Linked DNA regions of Sus scrofa. The protein of the gene in region 2 interacts with the protein of the main gene of each other region in a pairwise test. Links are inferred from orthologs where the notes say so. Each region holds a gene or a part of one and is shown on either strand. Other genes may lie near its edges.

What was found.
Region 1: the proteins of CLK4 (region 2) and UBL5 interact in a two-hybrid assay, tested with the Homo sapiens proteins (2 studies listed by BioGRID and IntAct). The link is inferred for Sus scrofa from reciprocal best matches to the Homo sapiens genes CLK4 and UBL5.

Annotation. Positions count from the first base shown.
Region 1 is NC_010444.4:68,697,995-68,712,621, reverse strand, and holds UBL5 (ubiquitin-like protein 5), read right to left. Parts: upstream 6,040-14,627; 5' UTR 6,036-6,039; coding exon 5,980-6,035; intron 5,776-5,979; coding exon 5,692-5,775; intron 5,532-5,691; coding exon 5,494-5,531; intron 4,767-5,493; coding exon 4,723-4,766; 3' UTR 4,673-4,722; downstream 1-4,672. Other genes in the region: FBXL12 (F-box/LRR-repeat protein 12), read left to right, coding at 10,948-11,051, 11,162-11,234. UniProt on the Homo sapiens protein: Ubiquitin-like protein that plays a role in cell proliferation and sister chromatid cohesion by associating with spliceosomal proteins. Participates thereby in pre-mRNA splicing by maintaining spliceosome integrity.
Region 2 is NC_010444.4:79,723,912-79,739,251, reverse strand, and holds the start of CLK4 (dual specificity protein kinase CLK4), read right to left. Parts: upstream 9,793-15,340; 5' UTR 9,635-9,792; exon of another isoform or gene 9,472-9,634; coding exon of another isoform or gene 9,469-9,471; intron 6,593-9,468; coding exon of another isoform or gene 6,535-6,592; coding exon 6,432-6,534; intron 5,635-6,431; coding exon 5,568-5,634; intron 3,042-5,567; exon of another isoform or gene 3,036-3,041; coding exon of another isoform or gene 2,983-3,035; intron 1,879-2,982; coding exon 1,656-1,878; exon of another isoform or gene 543-1,655; coding exon 452-542; exon of another isoform or gene 54-451; coding exon 1-53. UniProt on the Homo sapiens protein: Dual specificity kinase acting on both serine/threonine and tyrosine-containing substrates.

The DNA.
Region 1 (14,627 bases), about 11 Mb from region 2:
TTTATTTTTATTTTTGGCATGTGGAAATTCCTGGGCCAGGGGATGAATACCAACCACAGCTGCAACCTATGCTGTAGTTGCAGCAATGCCAGATCCTTTAATTCACTGTGCCACAGCAGTAACCTGGCAAATATCCTATTTCTGCTTAACTTTTGCAAACTAATTTTAGCATCTATTAGTGCATCTTGCCTACAGCAATTATTACTATGGTGACTCAAGGGTGGGTAATTTCCTATTTCCCTCTTTCCTTCTACAATTAACTGAAATCCTTTTATAATGAGGTGTCCCTTCTCTCCTATTCATGTACATATGGTTATTTATTTATATAAGCACAGGCTCGAGGCTATTTATTTTATTCTTTGGATTGTAGTCCAAATTATTATTATTTTGTTGTTCGAGTTGTTCTTTTTATCTGAGCACTACTTCCTGGTACACAAGATGCTCCACTCAGCTTGTATTTTCCCTACCCTAGCTCTGGAACCAATTACTTCTCCCAGGAGCCCTGGTTCCTTTTATTGGAGAATATTATTTAGAAACCAAGATCTGGGAGTTCCCATCGTGGCTCAGGGGAAACCAATCTGACTGGCATCCATGAGGATGCAGGTTTGAGCCCTGGCCCTGATCAGTAGATTAAGGATCTGATGTTGCTGTGATCTGTGGTGTAAGTTGCAGAGGGGGCTCGGATCCTGTGTGGCTGTGGCTGTGACATAGGCCAGCAGGTGTAGCTCCAGTTCAACCCCTAGCCTGGGAAAACTCCATATGCCTTGAGTGCGGCCCTAAAAAGACAAAAACAAAAACAAAACAAAACAAAAAGAAACCAAGATCTGGGTGCTAGGTGTGCTCATTGATACTAGGGTGTCACTACTTCTGGTCCAAGTGGATAAAACAAGGACATAGATGTATATATATATACATATACGCACACACCTATATTTCTACATGTGACAGTAAACATATTAAACAACAAAAAACCCATACTGATCCCTCCCAACTCTGTTTTTTGTTGTTGTTTTTGGCCACACCCCCAGCATGCAAAGTTCCAGGGCCATGAACTGAGCCCTACCATAGCAGTGACCCTCACCACTGCAGTGACAATCCCAGATCCTTAGCCGGCTGAGCCACATGGGAATTCCTGATGCCTCCAGCCCCACAGGATTCATTCTACCCAGCCCCTTCCACTGCACCTCCTCCTAGTTTTATTTGTAACTTCTTTCTCCAGCAGCAAGACAGTTGGCTCCAATTATGTACAATGTATTTATCCAACCCTGTGTGTGTATATATGTATAAAACTAGTTTTAGGATGGCTAAATCATACTGCTCTGAGGAATACATTTACCAACTACAGTACAGTGTTTGATTGTAATTCTCTTTGTCTCTAGCCTTATAGTATCAAGGTAAAATACTTTTCCAGTTATTTAGGTCAGCTCCTTTCTTCCACACTGGATTCAGTGGGGTCATGTGATTCACTTGTAATACAGGCAGATTCACCTGACAGCCTGCATTCCATCTATCTGCCTATATCCCAATCGACAAATGCTGAGTCCTGCATCCACCTCCATAGTTCCAGACCCAACAGTCCCATCATCAGAAAAATCCTTCCATACTGCCTTTTGATACAAAAGAGCAAGGAATTCCCGTTGCAGCTTAGCCAGTTAAGAACCCAACTAGTATCCATGAGGATGCCAGTTCAAGCCCTGGCCTCACTCTGTGGCTTGAAGATCTGGTGTTAGGGCATAGGTTAGCTAGGGCATAGGGTGCAGACGCGGCTTGGATATGGTGTTGCTGTGCCTGTGGCGTAGGCCAGCAACTGCAGCTCTGATTCGACCCCTAGCCTGGGAACTTCTATATGCTACACATACAGCCCTAAAAAAATAAAAAATAAATAAATAAAAAAGCAAAACAAAAATCAACAAAAACACTAATTAAAAAGAACGAGACAGGTAATTTATATAGAAAAATCAAAGGTAAAGCATAAAAAAGCAAACTGCTGAATGGTATATGAATATTAGCGAATGTATAAATTACTCCATTTGTATAAAAGCTATAGGTTGTATTTCAGAAAATTTCTGGATTCACTCAGCTATTTTTTTTTTTTTTTTCTTTTTGCCTTTTCTTGGGCTGCTCCTGCGGCATATGGAGGTTCCCAGGCTAGGGGTCTAATCAGAGCTGTAGCCGCTAGCCTATGCCAGAGCCATAGCAACGCCGGATCCGAGCCGCGTCTGCAACCTACACCACAGCTCAGGGCAACGCCGGATCCTTAACCCACTTAGCAAGGCCAGGGATCAAACCCGCAACCTCATGGTTCTGAGTTGGATTCATTAACCACTGAGCCACGATGGAAACTCCTCACTCAGCTATGTTAATGACTGCCATTGTTAGACAGAATGGTGTATAAATACGAAACTTAATTTTTTTTAACACACTTGGATTTCCTTATAAGAGGTATTAGCATAGTCAACTTTTAAAAATAAGTTTTAGGAGTTCCCATTGTGGCCTAGTGGAAACGAACCCAACTAGTATCCACGGGGATGCCAGTTCAATCCCTGGCCTCATTCTGTGGGTTGAGGATCCAGCACTGCTGTGAGCTGCGGCATAGGTCGAAGATGTGGCTTGGATCTGGCATTGCTGTGCCTGTGGTGTAAGCCAGCAGCTGCAACTCCACAATTTGACCCCTAGCCTGGGAACTTCCATATGTCTGAGTGCGGTCCTAAGATGGCAAAATAAATAAATAAGTTATAAATTACCTATTCATCAATAAAACTTTAAAATAAAAAAAAATAGTGTTTATTTAAATGCATTGAAAAAGGCCTGACCTCAGGAGAGGGAACAAGGTCAGGAGTGGGTTTTACTTGTTAACCAGTACTTTTTTATGCTGATTTGAACACAAAGACTCACCTTGTCAAAGTTGCTGTGTACTTTAAAAAAAATGTGTTGGGTTTGTTTTTTAGGAAGACAGGTGAGGAGACTGAGATATAAGAGCAAGAAGAGCAGGGATACCAGGAAACAGACATCTGTGACATGTCAGGAGAAAGCAGAGTCCTGGGGACAGGGGGGTAAGCCAAGGGCAAAGGTAGGGAGGTGGCTGAAGGAGACCAAGGAGAGACCATAACCAGTGGCCAGCACCCCAGGTAGCCGGCAGGTCTGCGTCCCAAGAAGATTGGTGGTGAAAGGCAGGCAGAAGGCTGGGTGGAGCCTGGAGAAGGGAGGAGCAGTGGGCCAGACTTATTATGGTTATGAACTGATCAGCCACATCAACAGAAGAGAGGGGAAAAAGGATGGAGCAAAGTTCTGGGTGAAATTTTTTCTTTCTTTCTTTTTTTGTGTGTGGTCTTTCTGTGTTTTCTAGGGCCGCTCCCATGGCATATGGAGGTTCCCAGGCTAGGGGGTCTAATCAGAGCTGTTGCTGCCGCCGGCCTACGCCGGAGCCACAACAACACGAAATCCGAGCCGCGTCTGTGATCTATACCACAGCTCACAGCAACGCTGGATCGTTAACCCACTGAGCAAGGCCAGGGATCGAACCCACAACCTCATGGTTCCTAGTCGGAGTGGCTCAGTGGTTAATGAATCTGACTAGGAACCATGAGGTTGCAGGTACAATCCCTGCTTTCTGCTTGGTGTAGGTCGCAGACACGGCTCTGATCCCGCGTTGCTGTGGCTCTGGCGTAGGCTGGCGGCAGCAACAGCTCGGATTAGACCCCTAGCCTGGGAACTTCGGTATGCCACGGGAGCGGCCCTTAAAAAAAAAAAAAGAGGCAAAAAAACCACTGAGCCGCAATAGGAACTCCCTAGGTGAAATTTTCAAGGGAGCTCCAGAATATGGCTTTGGGAAAAGACAGGGCCAAGCTTGACCCCAGGATCTGTGGCCAGGGTAATAGAAATGGAGTGTTAGATGTCCTGCCTACTCGCTCCAGAGGAAGAAGGATGGAGATGGCTAATACCACCAGGAATCCTGCTGTTTTAACTGCATTACCTCATTATCTCGAGATGGGATGCCTGGTTTTAGAGTAAGAAACCGACCACCAGAGAGGCTGATTCCCCAAATCCCACTACTAATGATGAAAATTCAGACTCAGTTGGTCTGACTCTTGAGGCTAGGTTCTTAGAATATATGCCACGCTGTTTCACTCTGTCCACTAGGATTTCATAAGTACCAGGAGATGTGGCTGCTTAACTATGCTTTATCTCATCTCCATAACACACCAAAGAAGTAAATACCATCATTTCCAATTTGGATAAGGCAATGAAGTTTAAGGGAGATTAAGTAACATGGTGCAGAGTCACAGCTGGTGGCAGAGGTGGGATTCCACCTATAGTCTGTCTGAATTCAAACCAGTATTCCTAACTACTGCACCTACTGTTCTTACTCAGAGGTTCCTCTATCTATTAGGATGCCAGTGATCCCAGGATTTCTTGACCTTCAGAAACATACGGCAAGCCCCAAAGCTCTGGTTTTCCAACTCAGGCTCCCAGCCCACTGGCTGACTCTTCACTGATCCAGTCAATCCTGAACTCTTACTGAGCAGCTAGTTACTGTGAAGATAGTGACAACCACATACCAACCCTCCCCTCAAGAGACAGCCCTCACTCAAAGATGACAACAATGAAGTAGCCTCTAAGTTTTTATTAACATGAGTTTTCAAAAACAAGCAGCCACACTATTGTGGGGGGTGAGGGTAGGAGAAGAGAGAAGGGCAAGGTAGGGGGGGAAGGAATTCTGCTTTATTGGTAATAAAGCTCCAGGTTCATCCCATCATGGATTTCATCTGAAGTAAATGAGTCAAGGAATCATCAGGGTGGGGTTGAACCCCCCCCACCCCTCCCATCTCTCACAGCTGGTAGCCACATTTTTGGACTAGGTCATTTTGATTTGAAAAGAATCCAAACTTTTAAATAAAAAGTACATGATCCTCTTGTACAACACATAAGCCTGAGTCTTACTCCACCGTGACTTCCTGCCCAACTAAGGTGGAACTCAGTAATAAATATTTTGACTGCAAACCCTCTTTTTTTTTTTTTTTTTTTTTTTGCCTTTTAGGGCCATACTTGCAGCATATGGAAGTTCCCAGGCTAGGGGTCGAATCAGAGCTGCAACTGCTGGCTTATGCCATAGCCACAGCAATAGCAACTCAGAATCTGACCTCGTCTGTGACCTACACCACAACTCAGGGCAAAATACTGGATCCTTAACCCACTCAGCGAGGCCAGGGATCAAACCCGTGTCTTCATGGATACCAGTCAGGTTCGTTACTGCTGAGCCATGATGGGAACTCCAAAGTGTCAAAGTCTTAGAAGCCATGTCAAAATACTTCACCAACCACCCTCCTGCCCCAACAAAATAATCACATGGCTCCCATTTTCTAAACACCATGTACCACATACTAAGTTAAATACATTATGTGCATAATCTCATATAGACTCCAGTCTATATATAGAACAAGGAGAACCAAGTCTGGGTATGAAAACCCTTCCTCAAGAAATCACAAAGGATACAGTCCCCCAGAGACACGTGGTCCTTAAAAATCGTGTACCTAAGGGATAAAAAGTTTTCAGAAAAAAACTTTAAAAAGGCTCTTCATTCTGGAGGCATGCTGAGGAGTTCTGCCTGAGCAAAGGGCTGGCTGCAGCACTCACCCACCCAAAGTCTCTGGCCAGCTCCTTTCCAGCTCCCATCTCCACCACTGTACTCACCACTTCTTCAATACGATCTTGTTCCAACGGGTGCCAGTTTGGGCTGCGATCAGCTTCTTAAGGTCCCCGATGGTGTCATCCGTACTGGGCACGAAGGAGTTAAGGAAAATGGAAGGGGGAGATAGAACGAGGAAGAGGGCATTCCAGGACCGAATGCACTCTGCCAGGATCCCACTCCCGTCCCCGCCTCCCAGGTTTAACTAGAATCACCCTACGGCACAGACTGAGCAGCCCGCCTCAAGCCAAGCACCCCCAGGAAACCACTGTCTCTTGGCCGCCAAAGGATACTTGCATTTAACGCGGACCTTCTTCCCCAGACGGTCGTTGCAAACAACCTCGATCATCCTGTCTGGAGCTACACAGGGTGGGGATGAGGAGGCAAGAGAATTTGGACTTCAGGGGTCTTCCAGGGTCCCAAGACCCCCAATTGTTGAGTCTTACATTCACGCCCCGCGCAATCCCCGACACTGAGGTCCTCCTGGGCCCCGAATCCTGTGTCCAAGGACTTCAGACTCCAGGCGACCGTGGAACCCAGGCAGCCAAACCTCCACCCCCCACTTGCCCCCCCGCCCTGGCCCCTTCCCGCTTCAGGTAGCCTGAAGGCCCCGCCTTGCCTCTCGCAGTCCCGCTGATCCACTATGGTCAAGTTCCATCAGCTTTCCCCGACTCCAGCCCTCTCCACCCGGCCCTCTCACCAAGAAACGCCTGGAACCAGCAGACGCCACAACCTCTTCGCTGGAAGGTAGAGCCTGGGACAGAGTCGACGCTAAGAACCGGAAGCGGAAGTGCTCGGCCGGAAGCCCTGGCCCTGGCTCCTCCCAGTGCCTGTCAACACTCCGCAGAGTTCGCCGCCTCCTGGGCGGGAAGTCGGTTCCCAGGAGCGGATTTGTGGTCCCAAGCCTGGGCAGGAGGACACCTGCAGACGGTGCACGGGGCCAAGTGAAGGTCGCAGCCCGTGCGGAGAAGGAACATGGAGAGTCAGAGGTCATGGACTGGCGCCCAGCCGATTGGATGCCGTTGGTTGAAAGCCCTTCACTGTGCCGAAACGCCGTCAGGTGTGGCATCTGCTGGGGAGGCCAGGGGCTCCTGAGGGACGTCCTGGGAAGGGGGGATGACCTCCTGTTCTTGAACCCGATGAAGCCTCTAACTGCAGCTTCAGGGCTACGGGGAGCTTAGGTCGAGTTCTGAGGCATCCGGTCCGCCCTCCTGCCTTCATTCAGGGTTTGGAAACGTTTTGCTCAGCCCTCCCCTCTGGCTATCTCGCCAGGGACATCTGGGGTGCAAACTAAAGCCAGCAAGCGAAGGAGCCTCCTGATCCTGGCCTGAATACTAGTATTTACCAGAATGAAGTTCCCATTGCACGCCAACCTGCAACACTGACAAGGAAGCTGGAAGCTGCACAAGCGCAAAATCTCCCAGGGCTGTTTCTCACGCCCTGCAGGGGGCACCTTGTACCAGATCCTAACCTTGCCTTTCGGATCCAGGGCTGGTGTGACACGGAACACCCCTCCCTAGATCCAGCCTGCCAGTAGACAGACCTAACCGTTGAACTGTACTTTCTCAGCTGACAGTATTCTCCTAGTTTGGAAAGCATAAAAGGATTCACTCTGAAAAGGGGCCTCCACTTCTGATTCAACCGGTACACTTTCTCAAATTGGGATGAGTTTAGGTGAAAGACATGAGATTCCATCCTGGGGAAAGGGCAGATGCTTGGTAACCTTGTCTGTGCTGCGCTGCCTTAAAGAATAAGTCTAAGAAATTCCACCTTGGTGTTCCCGTTGTGGTTCAGCGGTAACGATATTAACCGACTAGTTAGTATCCATGCGGACGCGGGTTTGATCCCTGGCCCTGATCAGTGGGTTAAAGATACAGGTGTTGCCATGAACGGTAGTGTAGGTCTCAGGCATGGCTAGGGAATGGTGTTGTTGAGACTGTGGCCGGCGCTGTAGCTCCAATTTGACCCTTAGCTTAGGAACTTCCATAAGTCGCACCTCAAACGCTAGAGTCCCAGGCCCTTCCTGCCTCAGAACTTTGACGTGTTATTCCTCTACTCCCTGCAGAATCCCTCTGAAAACCCCAACTTACGCGTTATTATTAAGCTGTGTCATCTCAGCACTTTCCTTCTCTGATTCTCATTTTCCTCATCTATGAAAGGGGATAGCAATTCCCACCCTAGGATTGCAGGAAGGATTGGTCTTGGCCCAGCCCCTGACGTCCTCTTGCAGAAGAACAGATGGAACAAGAGGAGAGATGGGAAGGTCAAGGATGAGCCTGAGGGAAATTTGGAAGGAGCACATCTTTGGATTCACATAGGAATACTAGGTCACGGAGTTCCCACTCTGGTGCAACGGGATCCACGGTGTCTCTGCCACGCCAGGACTCAGGTTTGATCCCGGGCCTGGCACAGTGGGTTAAAGGATCTGGCATTTTGGCAGGTGTGGCTGTAGGTCGCAACTGTAGCTGGGATCTGATCCCTGGCGCAGGAACTGCATATTCTGAGGGGAAGCCAAAAAAGAGAAAACAAAAACAAAACCAACAAAACAAAAAAACTAGGTCACACCAGCTGTTGATGGTGGTTACAGCTAGATGGTGGAATTGCTGGGTCTCATATTCCTCTTTTGGGCACTTTTGGTGTTTTCCCAGATTATCTACAATGAACATATGTTACTTTGTAATGAGGAGAAAAAAGTAAATGCATTTTTAACAAACACTGATTTCTCAGTGTTTGATTCAAAGTTGGCTCAAGCACAGGATCATGATACTAAGTTATGGGCTGGGGGAGGCTGAAAAGTAGTGAGGATCACTGCTGAAAGGGGAGGAAAATAAAGTCTGGGATTGTTGGGGGTTTGGGCCCCTCTGGAGGGAGGAATGGGGATCTACTGGGGGGCTGCCAACCCCAGCTGGACTAAGGCATCCTGAGGAAGTAGAGGGGGAGGACAATGGGAAGTCCCAGGACTAGGCTGCCACTGGGAGCCAGATGGGAGAGGGAGGTGCCTCAGGAGACAGGACACCTTATGTAAGAGACCTCTTTCCACATCCTGGTAATTATCATTTGGAACTTCCCATGAGGGGACTCAGTGGTCACGGAGGGGCCAGGTCAGCTCCATCCTCCTGTCTGGGAAACTGAAGGATCTGCTGACAGAGCTGCTCCTGGCTGGAGATAAATGCTTCCCAGGAGGGAGAGTTCTGGGTCATGACTCAGGGAGCAAACTGGGCAGGGCCTCTCTGTCTCTTGTTGCCTAAATTTCTGAGCCAGAGGAAGGAGCTTAGATGTGACAGTTCCTATCCCTCCACTCCTGTATGCTTGATGGGGCAGGAGATGATTCTTCTTTTCTTTTCTTTCTTTTTTGCTTTTTGGGGCTGCACCTGAGGCATATGGAAGTTCCCAGGCTAGGGCTTGAATTGGAGCTACAGCTGCTGGCCTAAACCACAGCTCACGTACACTGGATCCTTAACCCACTGATCAAAGCCAGGGATTGAACTTGAGTCCTTGTGGATACTAGCCAGGTTCGTTACTGCTGAGCCATGATGGGAACTCCCTCCACTGACTTTTTTTTTTTTCTTTCTTTCTTTTGATAGGCAAGTAATAGATTTATTAGGATAGGATGCTTGTGAGAGATGTAAGCAGGCAGGGAAGGGGGCTCTGCCCTGAGGATCTGGTAGGCTGCAGTTTTATCCTCTGGTTTTTTTTTTGTGTGTGTGTGTGTGTGTGTCTTTTTAGCTATCTCTTGGGCTGCTCCCGAGGCATATGGAGTTTCCCAGGCTAGGGGTCGAATCGGAGCTGTAGCCACCGGCCTACGCCAGAGCCACAGCAACGCGGGATCCAAGCCTCGTCTGCAACCTACACCACAGCTCATGCAATGCCGGATCCTTAAACCAATGAGCAAGGGCAGGGACCGAACCCGCAACCTCATGGTTCCTAGTCGGATTTGTTAACCACTGCGCCACGACGGGAACTCCTTTGTTTTTTTTTTTTTTTTTTTTTTTTTTTTTTTTTTTTTTTACCTCGTTCTTTCTGACAATTTGAGATCCTAGAAGTGGGATGCTTGGTCTGACAGGGGCTACAATCTTATGTTGCCAAACTGTCTTCAAAGATTTTGCATCAATTCTGCCCCAACTGCTGTGGTTGAGAAAGTCTGTTTCCTCATATCAGAGCCAGTGTGGGTATTTTTTGGCTTCCTCATCTTTCTTAATCTGATAAGTGAATTCCATAGTGTTTTACTTTGAATTTATTTATGGATAAGTGTAAGCATACAGATTATTTAAGTTTTATTCAGGTACAGTTGGTATACCAAATTGCACACATTTAGCATGTACATCTTAATGAGTTTGCATTTCTTTTTGAAACAGTTTTCAGCATCTCCAATTTCTTGTGTGTATTAAAAACATTTATTGCCATTTGTTGAGTGTGATTTGGCAAAAGCTACTCAGAATTAAACTCCTCATGTCCTTTGACCCATAAGCACAGCTCCTGTTTATTTATCCTATAGAAATAAAAACATAGGAAGTATATTATATATATGTGTGTACATAAACCTGCATACGTATATACATACATACATATGTAACAGAATGCTTAGCTCCAATATTGTTTATGGTAATAGGTCTGGAAGCAACCGGAATACTCATCAATACGGGAATGCTTGAGTAAATTTCACTGCCTTTATGAATTGCAACTTATAAAAATGAGTGCTGTTTACGAGAAGGAAGTCAGTTCAGGTTCTGAGGAGAATCATTTGACACCATCAATAAAAACGAAAAATTCAACACTCCTTTTAACAAGCTATTTATAAACAAAACAAAAGCTATTTCACTCTTGCAAATTTACCCTCATGTACATGCATCACAAAGCTCTAAAGCTGAGACCTCTCTCTGCGGAGTCCTCTGCTCTCGGCTCTGCCCTCAATCCCGCCTTCAGGGCTTGTCACCGCCCCAGCCCCGCCTTCTGGGTTCGGCCCTCGTCCCGGCCTCGCCCCCAGAGTAAGGTTTCCCCCCCCTTAACCCCGCCCTTGGTTTGCGTCACCGCCTCAGCCCCGCCTTCCCGGCTTAGTCCCAGTTCTCAGCTGCATTTTTGGTTCGGCGTTCAGATCCTGTGCTGCTCTGGCTCCAGTGCCCAGCCACGTCCCCGCAAGAGGAAAGCTGAATCTCTGCTGGCTACCTGAAGCCGCGACCACCTCCGTGCCAGCACCCTCACTTCCCCCACCTCCTTGGTCGCCCTCAGAACGAGTCCCCGAGTCCCTCTGGACGGAAACGGAAATGCGTGTCGGCGGGATGATGGCGACTTTTGCCGACTTGCCGGACTCTGTCCTGTTGGAGATCTTCTCTTACCTCCCGGTCCGGGACCGGATCCGCATCTCCAGGTGCGGCCCCGCCCCGCGGGAGGGAGGGGCCGGGCGGGGGGCATGCTAGGAGGTGCAGACCTGGACCCCGCGGGGCCGTGGTCGTTCTAACGGCGGGTCCCCTCCCCCAGGGTCTGTCACCGCTGGAAGAGGCTGGTGGACGACCGGTGGCTGTGGCGACATGTCGACCTGACGCTCTACACGGTATGCGGGGCTGGCCGGGAAGGCCTGGGCCTCGGTAGGTTTAGCCTGACCTCAAGGACCACGCCTCCAACCCTTGTTTCGAGCGAGGCTCTCCCAGGTGCTCCCGGCTGCGCCGCCTGCTTGCTCAGCTGTGACCTCTGGGCCTCAATTTCTCCATCTCCAAAATAATGGGTATAACCAAGATCGTTTGGGGAAAGGGCTTATTGATGAGTTTTCACGGAAAAGTAATTTTTTGTAGTCAACTTATTTCCAGAAGTAATCTCCTGAAGAGTGCAATCACACCATTTCCACTTTCTTCCGTTGTTTTTTTTTGTTTGTTTGTTTGTTTGTTTTTTTTTGCCTTTTTGTCGTTTTGCCTTTTCTAGAGCCGCTCCTGCGGCACATGGAGGTTCTCAGGCTAGGGGTCCAACCGGAGCCGTAGCCTCCCGCCCACTCCAGAGCCACAGCAACGCCGGATCCGAGCCGCATCTGCGACCTACACCACGGCTCAGGGCAATGCTGGATCCCCAACCCACTGAGCAAGACCAGGGATTGAACCTGCAACCTCATGGTTCCTAGTCGGATTGTCAACCACTGAGCCACGACGGGAACTCCTGCATTTTATTTTTCTTTTTATTATGAACTATTTTAAATACAAATGGAAATGCATAGGGGATAATATCTGAAACCATGTACTCACCATCTAGATTTAACCTTTATTAACCTTTGCTTTATTTGCTGCAGATCTTGAGAAACATAAATGTTTATGTATACATATATACATACAACATTTACAGGTTATTTGTTGCACTTTTTGAAACCCTCCACTATTTTTTTTCTTTATTGGTGGTGTGCGGAAGTTCCCGGACCGTGGATGGAACCTGTACCCCACAGGAGCCACACAAACAACTACAGTGACAATGTTGGATCCTTAACTGCTGAGTCACAAGGGAATTCCATTTCTAGAGTTTAGATAACCCTATTCTATTTAGATAATGAAATGCTATTTTACCCCTAACCAGCTTTTCTTTTGTTTTTTTTATGGCTGCACCTGCAGCATATGGAAAATCCAGTCAGAGCTGCAGTTGCCGGCCTAAGCCACAGCCACTGCAACTTGGGATCTGAGATGCATTTAGCTCATGGCAACAGATGGATCTTTAACCCACTGAGTGAGGCCAGGGATCCTACTCTCATCCTCATAGATACCAGTTGGGTTTGTTTCTGCTGAGCCACAATGGGAACTACCCCCAACCAGCTTTATTCACACATTGCTTTTGAGATAACTGGGACTTGTAAATCTAATTCATTCCTTTTAACCACGCTTAAATGAATATACCACAATTTGTTTATCGACTTTGCTGTTGACAGATGGTTAGATTATTTCCTATTACAAACAGCTTTTTTTTTTTTTTTTTTGCTTTTTAGGGCCCCACTGGTGGCATATGGAAATTCCCAGGTTAGGGGTCGAATCAGAGCTGCAGCTGCCACCCTACCCCACAGCAACAGCAACATGTGATCCGAGCTGAGTCTGTGACCTACACCGCAACTCACAGCAATGCCGGATACCCAAACCACTGAATGAGGCCAGGGATTAAACCTGCATCCTCATGGACACTAGTTAGATTCATTTTGCTGCACCACAAGGGGAACTCCACAAACAGCTTTATAAGTTCACAAATTGTCTCTTTACTATGTATATGAATCACCTATGGGGATCTTGTTAAAATGCAGATTCTGATTCAGTGGCCTGGAGTAGGGCCTTAGGTTCTGAATTTCTCACAGCTCCCCAGGTGTTACTAATGCTGCTGGTTCTTGTTGCACAAGAATGTCCTTTTGTCTATCTTCTTGTGTCCAGGTACTATTTACTCTTAAACCTGGAAGAGCAGTTTCTAAGATGTAGGGTCCTTTATATTTTTTTGTTTTCAGTTTTTCATCTGCAATTCCAAAATCAAAAAGCCAGCAAAGTGAAAAGTTTTCTGTAAGCTTGGCACAAATTCATTTGATGGCAAAACCTTATGTGAATTAGTGTAAGGCTATTCTTGTCTTTTCTTTTTTTTTTTTTTTTTTCTATTTCTTGGGCCGCTCCCGCGGCATATGGAGGTTCCCAGGCTAGGGGTCCAATCGGAGCTGTAGCTGCCGGCCTACGCCAGAGCCACAGCAACGCGAGATCCGAGCCGCGTCTGCAACCTACACCACAGCTCGCGGCAATTCCGGATCCTTAACCCACTGAGCAAGGGCAGGGACCGAACCCGCAACCTCATGGTTCCTAGTCAGATTCGTTAACCACTGCGCCACGACGGGAACTCCTTGTCTTTTCTCTTAACCTACATAGAATAAAAAGACATATTAAAGGATCAGGTTGCTATGGAGGTGCGGGTTTTGTTCCAGGCACAGTGGGTTAAAGGATCTGGCATTGCCAAAGCTATGGCTCGGATTCACTTCCTGGCCTGGGAACTTCCGTATTTCACAGGCGCAGCATTTAAAAAAGATCGTGTTATACTGAAAAATATTAATCTGATAATAAAGTGCTGCCCTTGACATTTGTACCATGTTAATTCTGAATTCTGAAATCTAACTGTCTCCAGGAGTTTTGGATAAGGTATCGTGGCCTTGTAGAGAAATTATTTTTATTGAAATCACCTTTTAAAAAATGATAATTTTTTTTTTACTATTTTATTATGAAAAATTTCAAACATATATAAAAGTTGAAAGAATAGTTCCTGTCATGGCTCAGTGGTAACGAACCTAACTAGTATCCATGAGGATGTGGATTCGATGCCTGGCCCTGCTCAGGTTAATGATCTAGTGCCTTGAGCTTCGGTGTAGGTCACAGATGAGGCTTGGATCCTGAATTGCTGTGGCTGTGGCTGTGGCATAGGCTGGAAGCTGCAGTTCCAGTTAGACCCCTAGCCTGGGAACTTCCATAGGCTGAGGGTAGGGTGTAGCCTTTAAAAGACCAAAAAAAAAAAAAAAAAGAATAGTACAAAGATCACGGAGTTGCCCACCATTAATATTCACCTTCATTTGTTTTTATCATCTGTTGATCCATCCATCCCTCTTTCCATCCATCAATCCATTTTACTTTTATTTTTAATTTTATTTGTTTATTTTTGGTTGCACACATGGCAGGTGGAAGTTCCTGGGCTAGGGATTGAACTCACGCCACAGCAGTAACCAGAACTACAGCAGTGACAACACCAGATCCTTAACCCACTGGGCCAGCAGGGAACTCCCCATTTTATTTTCTCTTCTTTTTTCTTTTTCTTTTTATGGCTGTACCCCAACATATGGAAGTTCCTGGGCCAGTTATCAGATTTGAGCTGTAGTTTCGACCTACTCCACAACTGCAGCAATGCAGAATCCTTAACACACTGCCTGGTGGGGATTGAACCTGCATCCCAGTGCTCCAGAGAT
Region 2 (15,340 bases):
GCACTCTACAACTTTGCCAAAGGCCCCTTCACCCAAAGTGTCCACGATTTCATCTAAATTGAGGGGGAAGAAAGAAGTGTAAGAACCTGAGAATAAATTATCAGTTATTCAAACAATGAATGCTTAAGTGTGGAATATTTCCAAATGATCTCTATCAAAGCATAACTAAGGTTTCAGCACTCAAATTATTTTATTTTCAGCTGCTACAAAAACAATTTAGATAGAGCTATCTTTCTTGCTCTAATTTCAAATTCCACTGATTATTTTGGAACTTTAGAGTAGAAATACTTAAACTCTACAGAAAAGAAGAAATACAAAAGAACAACAAACAAACCCACAAAAAACAAAATAAAAAAGTAATGAAGAGTTCTTTAGCCCCCCGCTGACAAACTATTCTTAAAAAGATTATTCTGTCTGCAAAGTTTAAAAAGTGTTGAAAAATATTCTATACATCTTGCTCTTAGAACGTCTCCACTTTGACAGATCAGGTGACCCTCCTCATCATCCTCTATACTCCTGGATCTTTTCCTTCGGTGGCTCTTCTGGAACGGCAAGTGGGCAGCACCAAGATCGTCCAGCCAATCAATATATCAGAGTGAATTCAGGGCAGAATACGCAATTCATTCAGCGGGGAGATATTCAGGCATTCAGATAAGCACCAGGCCACGAACAGTTGGCAGGAGCAATTTCAAATTCAGTCCCCAGAAATTCACAGGGCACAGTTTATGTTACAGAAGAAAAACATGGCAAGGAACAGATTTTCAGATAAGATACTTAAAGTGGCAATAGAAAAAAACAACACAATTGTCTCTTTAAAATACTGATTTAATTGAAGTCTGAAATTTAAAGAAAGCAATGTCATGATCTATTAACCTCTTGTCATAACATAGTATATGCTGTGAGTTGGGATGTCTAGTTCATCAGGAAAATGTTTTAAAATGTCAAGATTAGTTTAAATTGTTTATTTAGCAATATTTTAAAACACATGTGATTAAAATAAAAGGGGAAAGTAAAGGCTAGTTAACTTCAATGTTCAATCTAATCAATGCTAGTTCTACTGATGAAAACTTGGGGAGGAAAATAATAATTTATAGTTTACTGATCAAACAGGTGAAGATACGTGAATGTAAAAAAAAGGGCAGGCTTTTTAGACAATACATTTCCCATTTAGCACCCATTTTTAGAATTCCAATGCAACTAGTTGTAGATAATGATGCACTGTGCTATGGGACTGTGCTACATGCAGGATTAAATATCCACCAGTGCAACTTTCCATATTTGTTTACAAGTATTGGGAAAGGGGTTTCTTTTAAGGTTAAAAAAGTTTCAGATGAAAGAAAAGATGGGTGCTTCATCTTTTCATAAAATTGTATTATAAAAAACACAAAAATATTTTTAATATTAAAATCAAGAAACTCATGATCTGGTCTACAGAAAATGAGTAATGTGGGCAAATTAGGGTTAGCTAATAAATACAAATTAGTTTTAAGAATTTGGAAGTTTCCTTTAAGGATTCAAGTAATATAAACACAATTACAGTCACAGTATTTTTAATATATATAGATATATATATACTTTTCCAAACTTATTGGCTTAATAAGAGCTTTTATACACAAATAAGTATTCACCCAAAATAAAAACAAAATCAATCATACCGAACGTGACTGATGACTTGAACAGTGTCTATTACGTTTCCTTTTAAGACTGCTTCTCCTGCTTCGGACTGAAGATTTACTGCAATGGATTCGATAACTGCTTTCAATGTCTCTGTGATAATGTCTAGGAACATATCTTTCGCAGTAGTCATTTCTGTATTCATCAATGTATCTCCGGTCCCGATAATCTCTCTCATTCAAGGACCTTGCTTCTAAATAATGACTGCAAACACATTAAAGGATTTAAAATTACTCTCTTCATTCCAGAATAATGTGGTTAAAACAAAACATTCTCTCAAGAATTCCTGGTATAAACAGCTAACTCATAAGAGAAAAAAAAATACAAATTGACGAATCAGAATTTATATTTAACTCATAAAAGTTAGTAATTTTACTTTAACCAACCAACAAATTCGTCATACATCTCTATCAAGAAACGATACTTGAGTCAAATCATTCAATTATATTCAGTATTGGCTTGATTTAGTGTCCCTTTACCTTCTGGAGAAAGTTAAGACCAAAAATTCACAAAACCGCTGTTCTGAAATTCATCAGTCTCATGCATGATATATGTGTCTGTAACTGAGCTTTTTTCCTTTTCCCAGAGCCACATACAACATGAGGCAGACAAAGATTTCTTTTTCAATATAAGTGAATTTTAGATATCCCTGGCACACAGAGAATTCTCTCATGAAAGGTTTATTAGAGCTAAAAGGAATCTTAAATATATTTTATTTCAGCACTTTCGCTTTAAAGGTGACTAAATTGAGCTCCCTAGAAGGAAAATTATAGGCCATGGTTGCACATCACGTTCTAAGTCCTATTATATGTGCCAATCGTATCACACACACCACTTATCCCATATCTCCTCTCCTTTTTGTATTTCTAGCTTCATGTATTAATCTTTGAGAAACAGACAACACAGCTTTTGAAGGTTGTATCATGTGCCAAAGACATCTAAAACATATTCCCCTCAAATGAGAAAACAATCTTGTAATTGCTTGCCTAGGGCTACCCAACTCCCTACTTCCCTTTGCATTTGGAATTTTCTGTCATTCCTGCTTGCAAAGTAAACAAGAATTAATGAAAAACAGCATCATCTGGTGCCATGGTGCATAACTTCTAAATCTACAGATCCCTTTGAAAATCTGATGAAAGATTTGGACCCTCTTCTCTAAGAAGCACAAAAATGCATAAACAAAACTTAGTAAGGAATTTCAGAGGTCATGGACCTCAGGAAGTCAATGGATCCCAGTTAAGTAGCCTTGGTCTGATGGAAAGAAAAAACATAGATTCAATTGGCCCAGTTTCCCATCCCCCTCTCTACCTGGGATGAGTGTCCTCTTCAACAGAGTGCGAAGCTTCAAGAGGGATGCACATGGAGCACTGAGGGAGAGAGGGGACACCTGCCCAGTCAGACACATCAGCTAAAATAATCCTGACAAGCAATGGAGTGACAGATGTTGACTAGATTGCCCTCACCAACCTCATTTTTTTCCCCAGAATACGCAGTCATTCTTTTTCCCAGGGGGCTGGTTTAGGCAGAAATAAAGGAGAAGCATCTGTAAAACTGCTACTCAACAGGGTTGGCATCAAATCCAGGCTGGGGAGATGCAGAAACCCTCTTTCCTTTTCTCCAGTGTCAGCCCTGAGTTCTAGTCATTGGAGAAACAACTTACAATATTAGGGTAAGACTTTTGAGTCTAGGTCAAGGATCTATCAGCTGCTTGGAACTATAAGGGAAAAAACTGCAATACATCAAGCTAGAAATTACCATATTCTTAAGGACATCCTGTTTAATTCTGTAAGGCATCCTCCCTATTAAAGCCCGAAATCTATCAGAAAAAAAACACTAATAATCTCTAGCTGGAATGGTGCATGAAATTAGAGCTGCTGATCCATAAACAATCTACGGAATAACAAACATGGGGTGAATATCACAAGGATAAACTAAAAAGATGAAGACCTCCTCAATCTACAAAAACCAAGGCTTAGAGATTACATAAACAAAGTCTACAGAATTATAAAGGCTATATGGACAGAATGAACAGAATGAACACTTGGGATATTTCTAAAAATATTCACTGAATGGCCAGTGAATATTTCACTGCAGTTCTTCAAAATAGCCAGGACAAATGAGGCTAGAGGGCATTTGATTTTATTTCCACACAGGTCCGGTGGAAGATAAAAAATATATATATACATACATATATATATACATGGCAAAAGCCCTGCCAACAAATAATGAACGATTTGAGATTACTAACACACACAAAAAAACCCCAAAACTCAAGAATGCAGTAAATGCCAAAAGGCTGTATATGAGTGCTTAGGGACAGAAGGGAAAAAACTCAAAATGCTTAAAATGGTCAGGGAAGATTTCATGAAAAAGAAGGAAAGAGTTGCATCTTAGAGGGAAGTTAGGATTTAGACAAGGTGGATATGCAAGGGGAGAAAAATGGCCTATTACCATCTCACATTTATAGATCCTTTTAGCCACAATGACTTAGAGATGAATTTGTCTACATGTTACTTAAAAAACAGTAAATAGACAATTTTAGCAGAAGCAATTTTCACACAGGCAAAATAAGCTGGGAACAGTCACCCAAAATCTTGAATGTCAAGCTAAAGAGCTCAAAACAGTGTTTCTCAAAGAGTGGTAAGTTTAACAATATCAAAATGTTAAATTATTAAAAATGAAGATTGCCGGGCTCCAGGTCAGGCTCACTGAATAGCCTGGTAATATGCATTTTAAACAAGCTCTAAGGTGATTCTATTCACACTGAAGTTTGAGACTCACTGATTTAAGGCTTGATATTCTGTGTTACAGGAAAACATTTTTAAGGCTATTCACAGTATTCACAGCCACATCAGTCTTCCTAAAAATTAATTAACCCTGTAGGAAGGGAGTAATTCACTGGCTACTTACTACCAAAAAACAAATCAGAAAGAAAAGATACTGCAATATACGTTGGAAAAAGGTAAGATATTTGGCAGAATAATAAAAGTACTTATAAATCAGTAAGAAAAATACTTTCATAGAGAAAAATAGGCTAAGAATACAAAAATAACATTCAAGTGGTCAATAAACGTGACAATAAATTAAGGAGAAATTTCAAAACTCAAATAGCATTTCAGAATAGCTAAGAATGGTGAAAGTATGAAGGAACAAGTTGTAGGAGTATAACTTGGTACAAACTTTCTAGAAAAATATGTTGAATATGCAACAAGAGCCTTATGAGAATTCACATCCTTTAACCTGAAACTGTCCCTTCTTAAGAATCATTCTTAGAATTATTTTCAGGAAATAATCAGAGGCAAAGATTTGTATACAAAGATATTTTTCAAAAGAAATAGTTAAAAGTAATTTTACATCCAAGTAATAGGGGACTATCATCTTATCAAGATTACCTTTATGTATTTCTACATTTTTCTCTTTTTTCAATAATTTCATAAAACACGCTTATTTAGTTTTGAATCTTGAAGAAGACTATTAGACTACTCCAGATTATGGAGAGCAATTGCTACCAGACATCTCTGGTGCCAATGTCAAAGAAGAAACTATTGGCCCAGTGGTTACTAGATCAGTATCATGTTTATGTAGTTAATAACAAACATGAATGAAATGTATATTACATCACTTCCTTTCTACACATATAATGCACAGTAAACGAATGATTATACTATGATGTTAATAAGCCTTATAGACTATTTTATATTTATTTTAATATAGGGTACAGATATTTTTCTGTAGAAATTAATTAGCTCATCGAAATCCTGGCATAGATTCTCCCTCTTTCTTCCAAATGATAACGTGTGATGAAGAATGACTAGTCTGCACTGACAATGAACAAGCTCACTGTTCTGCAGAACAAATCTGTTTTAGCATGGAGAAGGAAAAAAATTACATACTGTTTTTTAAAGTAACCCCAGCTGGCTAATTTAGAAAGCAATCTGGCAAACAGTCCCAATGGAACATCTGCACAAAACAAGGAGAAAACATAGAACCAACAAAAACAAATGAGAAAGGGATATTAATGGAGGACAGAATGAAAGACACTCTACTCACCTAACCTTTGTTTAATTATTTAGGAACTTTAAAACTCCTTCAATTCTATATAAATGTACTACCTCCAAATTTTACACTGGTTAGAATACAGTAAAACAGGACACATGCTATCAGAAATTTTTATTGAGGCCTTTCCCTAAAAATTACTGGCTACTGCCTAAGCAAAAGAATGGTTCTTAAAATAGTCAAGCTTCTAAAAAATCCAACCATCCACTGGTCTTATCTACAAATAAAACCTGCAGGATACAGTCTAAGTGACTAATCCCCAAGGCACTCAAATGGCACAAGATATTTTTCTCACCTGGATAACTCTTCCTTGCCCCTGAACTCTCATTCGTGGAACCCTAAACAAGTGCTCTCCTACAAACAAGATAAAGGCGCTAACCAGTCCTTTAATCATTTACTTTTGTGTGAGCAATCATAACTTACTTTCAAGTCTCAATGCCCCCAACTACATTTCTGGCAGCTGGGACTCAATTAGCTGTCTCCTACAGCTCCCTGACAAAGATATGAGGATAAGAACTCTTGTTTTACTCACAACTCAGCATCTACAGTGTCTAGCATGTAACTAATAGGCACTCAGTAAATATTTTCTGAATTTTTTAAACTAATTTAGAAAACAATTTGACAGATGAAAGCTACATAAGCTAATGACAAAGCATTAAAACTATTAGTGTTAAAATGCTACTAGTTAAAAAGCAATTTACCAATCAGATTCTTTAAACTGGTGATGTGGTTTACAATGTCTGTTCTCTTGTGTACTACTGTGGGATCTCCTCTTCCGTTTGTGACTTCCACTGTAGCTTTCATGTCCCCAGCTTTCTCTGCTATCCCAATCAGGGCAGTGAGTTCTTTTGGAATGCCGCATCTATGAATGGAAATGAAAAGTGAGTTGTGGAAGTTACAGACGGTTATGTTTAGTCAGTAAAATATTTTATATTAATATAAAAACACTCAGCATATGGGGGGGTCACAGAGGTTCTAAAATATTTGCAGGTAGCATTTCCAAGACATGGGGGCACTATTCCACGGTATGTCAGATGATTCTAAGTGGCATGCAGATCTAGTACTAAATGATTGGTAACACTGTGAGACCTTAATATATTTTCTTCCAATTCTTCTGCATAAATTCTCAGCTTGATGCTTGTGTTCAACTAACATTTGCTAACTGCCATCGTTCAGTAAACAACAATACCTTGCTAGAAATAATAACTTTTTTGGTTTTATTTTTATCATTACCTTTCTTTCTACCATCGTTGTTCTATGTTAAATTATTACTGATCTGCCAATTAAGTTGTTGATGTTATCAAATTATTAAGTTACTGACGTTAACTTTAAATCTGAGCTAATTTAAAACGAACATCACAAGTGTCATGCATCTTTGGCAAAATACTGTATTACAAATAACTGGAGTCAGAGAAGCACTTGGGGATACTAAATATAGGAGACAACTTAGTTTTAAAGGTAAAAAGCCATTAATAAAGCTTATTTTTCTCACTCAAAAAAAGGTCCTTTTTCTTAATCTCAGAATGACTCCAAACTTTGAAAACAAAAATAAACAGGGCATAAATGCAACACAATATTCCACAGAAAGAGCAATAAAAGAGTATTTTCTGAACTCATTTTCTCTATCCAACATATTTATTTTCAGATCATCCTGCAGCCATTCTTAAAATTAAACATATTTGTTGTAGATCTGGGAATGAACTTATAAGGATGAACATGTTCACACTAAAATCAGATGGTAACTGCAAAAATTTCCTGACTCCATCTACAACCTTATAGGTTCTTTCAGGATCAGGATCTCCCTCTTCCCTACTTAATTCTTTCACAAAACAGTTAAGTTTGAAACAATGATACCCAAACTGCTGAACAGGGGGAGTTTCACAATTCAGCAAGGAGCTGAAAAAAGGTAAATAAGAGCAAACCAGCTTAGTTCATTTACCTCCTTTAGTTTGCCCAAATGACTCAGTAACAAGCAAACAAATCCAGGTAAACATTTAAATGATTTCAAACGGATTAAAAAAGACTTTGAAATAAGAAATCTCCTGTGAGGTATTCCCTAAGAAAATCTAGCCACCAAATATGCAGATTTTTTTCAGTGACTTCTCTCGCTAATGCTATTTCTATGCCCATCAAGTATACTTCTAATAATGTAGCTTCTCTTTCAGCTTGCTTTTAAAAAGGAAGAGAAGGCACTGGTTAGGTAAAACAAAATTCTTAAAACTCTACTCAGGGTTTTTACTGGAAATTGATTTAAGTGAGCATTCTGATTTGACACAGAGTTACCTGAATATGGGAAACTGAAATAAATGACACACAAATTAACTTGAGTCAAAAGGTCATCAGAAATGCCATCAAAAAAAATTCTTCTTTCTAGAGGAATTCTCCTGACACTTCAATTACCCAAACTGTATTTTAACCACATAGAACTCTTTAAAATTGCTTAGTTAAGCATTCTTAAATTATAGTAAGCAAAATTACAACATCTGATGACTAAAGGTATTATTATGACTACTACAATGCAGTTTTTGCAAAATATATGTGCCTACTTCGGTTTTGCTTTTTCCTTCTACTGTCAGCCATAACTGGCTCATCTGTAACAAGGCAGAATTCTTAACTAGAATTATCAATATGCAAATAATAAACTAAGAATAAGCATCTTGGGAGAGCCAAAGGTTTTTATTTCTCTAGCTAAGTTCACTACTTTTAATTCAACTGTTAGGAAGTCCCCTGTGCGTCCTCTGCCCCCCTCCCCCAACTAATAATGCTCAGAAATATTACCTCAGGAGACCAAGAGAAAAATCCCAAACCCTGGTTACACAGACAAGGTTCTTTCGCATACACAAAAAAGAAAATCTAGAATTGTTACACCATCTCTAATTAATAAAGAATCCTACATGTTATAATCACCAGACATACTTCAATAAAAACAGCAGATAGAATAAATCTACGGGTTTATATCCATCTTAGGAATCTGATTCTCTACTGCCCTTTAACACTCTATATTATTGATTTAAGTGAGCATTCTGATTGACATATCTTATGCGGACAATTTTATGCACTCTCTCTATATTTAATGTGGCTAGAAATATCACAATTAGATGGATCCAAGAGGACTGCATTTAATAAATAACAAGAAGCCGAAGCCTGTGGCTGTATGTATGGAACACAATCACACAAACATAGCTATAAAATAGGACCAGGTGGTTGACCCAGGCAGTTTTGAATGCTGTTTCTTAAGGCTCAGACAAGCATATAGCGGTTGCTTAAGGATCAAGGACAGCAAGCTATACAAGTATCAGAAATACAGATCTGCCGCACAAGGGTAAGCTCCACCTTAGGAAAAATACAGTTCCGCACAAAGGATGAGCCTCTCAGTATTTCTGCCTCTCCCGTGCTCATTTCCACCATCCTGGACTTGCAGACTTGCAGTTCCTCGGACGCCCGGTCGCCGACCCCCGCCTACCCGCCCAGGGCCTTTGGCTCACTCACAGACAGGGACAGATATGCGACTCCGGAAAACACCCAAATGCTACCGGCGACCGAGACCAGGCACAGAGGGGAGCGCTGGGTCTACCACAACACAACCCCCCGCGGCTCTCGAAGGGCCTCCCGACAGGTCCTCGCTGTGGCCGACGGGAGGAGCAAAGGCCTCCGCAGCCTTGATGCGAGCAGCCTGAGCTCCCAGTGAAGAATAAGCAGCAGAGCCGAGGTCTTTCCGCCCTAGGACTTTAAATTTACCATGACATCTGGGCAACTTCAGGTTTTAAAAGCCACGAGCAGAGTTGTGCCGCGAAAGAACTCCGGTCGCCGAGGCCTTGAACCCGGTCGTTTTTCCGACACCTGGCTTTGACTCCTATAAGACTGGGAGGCCGCCCATCCCAGTACACCCCACCTGAAACGTTACCTCCGCAAAAGCAAAAGGCCTTTTGGCCGCGAAAGGCCGCCAAACCGCCGTCTTCTCTCTACAGGCGCTGCGACAAACACCCCACAAAATGGCGGCAGCGCCGTCTCCCTACAACCCCCCGGCAGCCTCTAGCACCACCTACAACCCGCGAACGCGCCTGCGTGACAGAGCTCGCGCGCTCCCGCCGCTCCCCCTAAAGGGCGGGGCTCCTGTGACGTCAGTGGCGGGCCCGGTCCGCCGCAACGCGTCTGCGCGGGGCAGGAGGTCCCCGCCCCGAAACCCGCCGGAGCTCAGGCGACGCCCTAGGTTGTTTTCGTTTTTGGAGTCTAGGTGAAAATTGGAGCGAGTGCCGGCGCACTGGCCTCAGCTGTGGCGTGTCTGTTCCTTCAGGAGAAGTTTTTGGGGTTTTTTTTTTGTCTTTTTGCCATTTTCTTGGGCCGTTCCCGCGGCATGTGGAGGTTCCCAGGCTAGGGATCTAATCGGAGCTGTGGTCACCAGCCTACGCCAGAGCCACAGCCACGCAGGATCCAAGCCGCGTCTGCAACCTACACCACATCTCAGGGCAACGCCGGATCGTTAACCCATTGAGCAAGGGCAGGGACCGAACCCGCAACCTCATGGTTCCTAGTTGGATTCGTTAACGACTGAGCCACGAGGGGAACTCCAGGACGAGTTATTTTGAAGGCAGCACCTCTAGGCAAAGCCAACAATGGCTCCTTTTTCTGCTCTTCAGCCTTTGGCACTTTGGCTGCCTGCCCTCCGCCTACCCAAGGACCTGAACTCTAGACACAGTCACCACAAGAGAGATAAGCCCCCAGACCCGCTCTGTGCCAGGCCCAGGTTGGCGCTGGGGGCAGTTCAGTGAACGAGATTGTGTAATTCAGTCGCTTGGAACTTCTGTCTAAAAATGGGCTCGAAGAGAATGTCTCGGGAAATAAGCTCAGGGGTGCTTATCTTTTTAAGGCCTGTGCACAACAATATCAAAAGAAATTTAAACTGGGACTCCTTTCAAGGTTTTTCCTGTTGTGCCTGGGCAGGATTTGGTAGCTGGAAGTTTCCCTAACAAAGGTTACCACATTATTTGTCCCTATGGGTCAGTTTTATTTAACCAAGGCAGAATAATGTCTGAGAGCTAGTAAGCCCCATTAAGGAGCTTGCTTACCTCAAGGTGTTTTGCAGTTTCTAAGAATCCCTAGTTTGCCGTTGTGAGCCTGTAGAGAGAGAAGAGAGAAAGCCAAAATCATTTCAAGGGACAGAGAGCCTGAGCAGGAATGACCAGAAGGAGAGGAGAGCCAAGAGTATGGTGTCAGAGCAAGCCTAAAGGAGGGAAAGCTTACAGTGCCAAATGCTAGGAAGGAGTCAGGAACTTTTCTGCTAGTACTGAAAAGTGTCAAGGGGATTTCACGTTCTGAAAAACAGTCAATAAAAAAAATCAGAAATCAAATATAGGAGGGCAGAGTTGAACCTCCCAATTATATGGGTCTGTACCTTGTACTTTTTAACCTTGTTAAGTGAAAGAAGGGCACTGTTATTTCGTGATATGACATCACAGAAACTTGTACAACCTCCTTTGGATAAATTGAATTGTTATGGAGATTGTCCCCGCACTTCAAGAAGTGAAGTTGAAAAGATTACTTGGAAGTGAAAATTCTTTATGCTGTAGAATGAAACAGGCAATGTCATTCTCCTCAGCTGGAACAGTCACCATTTCTGCATCTACAATTTTAAATCTTGCCCATCCTTCGAGGTCCATCCGTTCCTGCCTACATCAGTTCCCATCCTTCTCCCTACTCTTGACTACATGGGTTAGAGATGAAGTCCTCAAACAGTTGGCCAAGGCACACAGGTGTACCTGGAGCTTCCAAAATATGGTGACCAATTCTGCCCATAGAGTGAAATGTATTGGTTCTACAACTAACACATACTATTTCAGGGACATCTAACAGTTAGAATGTTGAGCTGAGTGGACTGAACCATCTTGCAAGGTAAAGTGGGGCTCCACTTGAGGCATACAGAGGCCAAAATTAAACTGGCACCAGAGAAAATCACCCCTTTTTTGCTGGAGCATGAAAGATCTTTGTCTTTTGAGGATATGATATTGTGGTCAGGACAGCACAGTTTTGCTCAAACAGCAATATAAAAGTTAAAAGACAGCCAAGTGGAAAGGCCACCTACAGAGGGATTTACAGACATTGCAAAACAATATCACCCAGTAGGGGAGTCTGCTTCATAGTTACTGCTGTCTTGTTTTAGTGTCATTTTGAGTATTTTAATTAAAGTGTGCCACCAAAGGTCTAATATTTAACTGGTGATCAGAAGGAGATTGAGAATGTCCTATGACTAGCATTTCTCTGTTATACATATGGTGTTCCCAGGTACTCTTGTGGCTTGTGTGCTTTGGAGACAAGGACTTGGTTTGTATTATCATTGGTATCTCTCCACCTACAACTCAGTACATATTTGTAGGTTGTTTACATAAGCTGCTCAGTTGGTTCAAGTTGGATTAAATCAAAGGTAGAAATTTACACCCAGAATCCCTGTGCTAGTTGGCTTAATAATCTTCCATGGCACCTCAACCCGTTCTATTAAATCAGTTACCTGGAAAATGAACACCTTGGGTTGGAGGACTTAAAAAAAAAATCAAAGTTTCTAAGAATCTACTACCAACACCAGAATGACTACCTAATACAGTAGCTTCATCTCAACACAAGAACAAGCATGTCTAAGAAAACTTTAAGTTAAACCAGGTATAAAAAAGCCTTAGCTTTGAAGAGCAACCAGAGGAATATTATTATCATATATTCTAGATCAGAGATTCTACAGGTTTAACTTCAGACAATCATCTCTGAAAGCACAGTTCAAGAGTAAAAGTTTATATTGTGTAAATTAAGTTGAACAAAAGTTTTATCATCTGTATGGAGAAACTCTGACAAAGGTAACAAAGATATAAACCTTTACAAAGGTTATAACTTCTGTTTTAAGTTGCTATTACTGATAATTACCAATTAGATTTGGTATTTAATTAGATTTTTTGGTGTGTTTTTAGGTATTAATTAAATAATTAAATACTCATTATGTGCTAACTGCTGTGTATACATGATCTCATTTAATAGTCTAAACAACCCTGTAAAGTGATGATCATTGGTTTCTTGCTTGAGGTCACAGTGATCAAGTACCAGAACCAAAATTCAACCTCAAGCCTTACTTGCTTCAAAGCTCTTGTGTTTAACCCATTCTATGATTTCCACCCATTCAGCAAAATACATAGAAACTTACTTTACTTAATCATTAGGAAAAACAGGCTGAGTCCATCTTTCAGCAAGACCAAAGTGTTCATCTTAAAAAAAACCCCACTTTTCAAGGTTATATATCATTGAAGGTGCCTCATGATGAAACAATGAGTCAGTTTATCTCTATCACATCAAGATCATCAAAGGTCCCAGGGTGCCTTAGTCACTGTTCAACAGCAAGTCAGAAAGCATCTCCCATGCATCCCATGCTGCCTAAGGTGGATACTAGTTTTCTCCGGTACTTCCTGAGACTGATTGTGAGGAGATTCACACAACACACTATTAAGCAGGATTTATTTCCATCAAACAGTGCCAGGAGCATTCCCTGATATCCAATGTGCCTTGCCATGTGTATATGAGGAAGGAGTATGGAGGGGTACCAGGGGTGATTTAATTCAAATGTTCCACAGGGAATAGGATAGGCTGATCTTTCCAATCTCCTTGTAAGTTTCCATTACCTCTAATGATAGAGCTTCAGAGTCAGGTTAGTAAGTTAGTTTCTCTACATCTGCTACCAATAGTCTCAACTGTCAACCAGCCAATGACACCACTGATGGAAAAATATATTTGCCTAAGTTCTAAATGTCTTATGAATTCTGTAGAACGCTGCATAAGCTCATGAAAATGTGTAATATATGTCTCCAAATCTTCTGGGGTTACCTTTTATTTTAATGTATAAATATAAAGTTCCTATTTCATGTAATTGGTGAAAGTACAGTATCCTTCGGAGTACTCTGATGATTCTGGAGAGGTCAACTTCTCTGGTGGCTTCTTATCACCCCACACTCTAAATACCTATTGCTGCCTCTTTCCCTCATTCTCTTATACTACCTCATCTGCAGTTACTGTCAGTACTTCATAATATTTTGTACCAAGTATTGACACAGACCTCTTCTTTTTGATTCTCCAAAGCCTAACTAGCTTTTATGAGAAATAGGCTTAAAAATTTGAGGATACTGAAAGGGGGGTACAGCACAGAAACAAAAAGAACTTAAATTTTAGTATCAGATTTCACAATTCCTAGGGTCCCAATCATTTCTCATCATAGATCATTTTTTACCGGCTTTTCTCACCTTAGGACTCAACTGGCCAAGTTCCCTGGGATCATCCTCATATTTTCTCTCCAGAGCTTTATCCCTTTTTCTAATCCTTCTTTCTTCCTTCATTCACTCATAAAATATTTATTGGGCACCTACTTATGCCAAACACTGTCTTAGATGCTGAGGATACAAAAGTACATGAGACAAAGTACCTGCCTTCATAGAGCTTATGTTCCAGTGGGGGAGAGAGAAAAAAAAGGAAATAAATACAATATTTCAATGTTTTGTAAATCCTTTGAAAGAAACAAACTAGGGACTGAAAGAATAACTGAGAAAGAATAACCTGCTTTAGATAGGATGGTAAGAGATGTGACATTTTAGTTGAGGGTTAAAGGAAGAGGAGAAGCTGGCCATGTGAGGATGAGACAAAACCCCACTGGAAGTCTCATTTAACCCCATATGGAACTATGTGTGGAGATATTCTTTGACATTTTCTGATAGGAAGGGAAAAAATGGAAACAATATAGATGTCCATCACTAGGGGAATGGATAAGTAAAATGGAAATATACTGCACATTAAAAGCAATGAACTGAATGTACATACAGCAATATAAATAGATCTAAAAACTTAATATTGGGAGTTCCCTTAGAGCTGAGAGCCCACATCAACACATCAAGCCTCAGCACACTGTGGCAAAAAAAAAATAAAAAAAAAAAAAACCAAACCAAGAACCCCAAAACTTACTGTTGAGTGAAGAAAAGTGCTTTATAACACAGTATCATTTAGGCAGATTTTTTTTAAATGGCCACACCTGTGGCATATGGAAATTCCTGGGCCAGGGATCTAATTTAAGCCACAGCTGCAAGCTACACCACAGCTTCGAGCTACACCACAGCTATGGCAATGCTGGGTAAACCACTGTGCTGGGCCAGGGATCGAACTGGTGCCTCAGCAGTGACCCAAGCCACTGCAGAGACAACACTGGGTCTTTTTTTTTTTTTTTTGTCTTTTTTTGCTATTTCTTTGGGCCGCTCCCACGGCATATGGAGGTTCCCAGGCTAGGGGTCTAATCGGAACTGTAGCCGCCGGCCTACGCCAGAGCCACAGCAACGCGGGATCCGAGCCGCGTCTGCAACCTACACCACAGCTCACGGCAACGCCGGATCGTTAACCCATTGAACAAGGGCAGGGACCGAACCCACAACCTCATGGTTCCTAGTCGGATTCGCTAACCACTGCGCCACGATGGGAACTCCCTACACTGGGTCTTTAACCCACTGCGCCATGGCAGGAACTCCGCTTTCTCATAAGTCTCTTTTAAAAATTGCCATGACGCTTAAAGGGATAAACTTTTTGTCAATTCTTAACACATTTG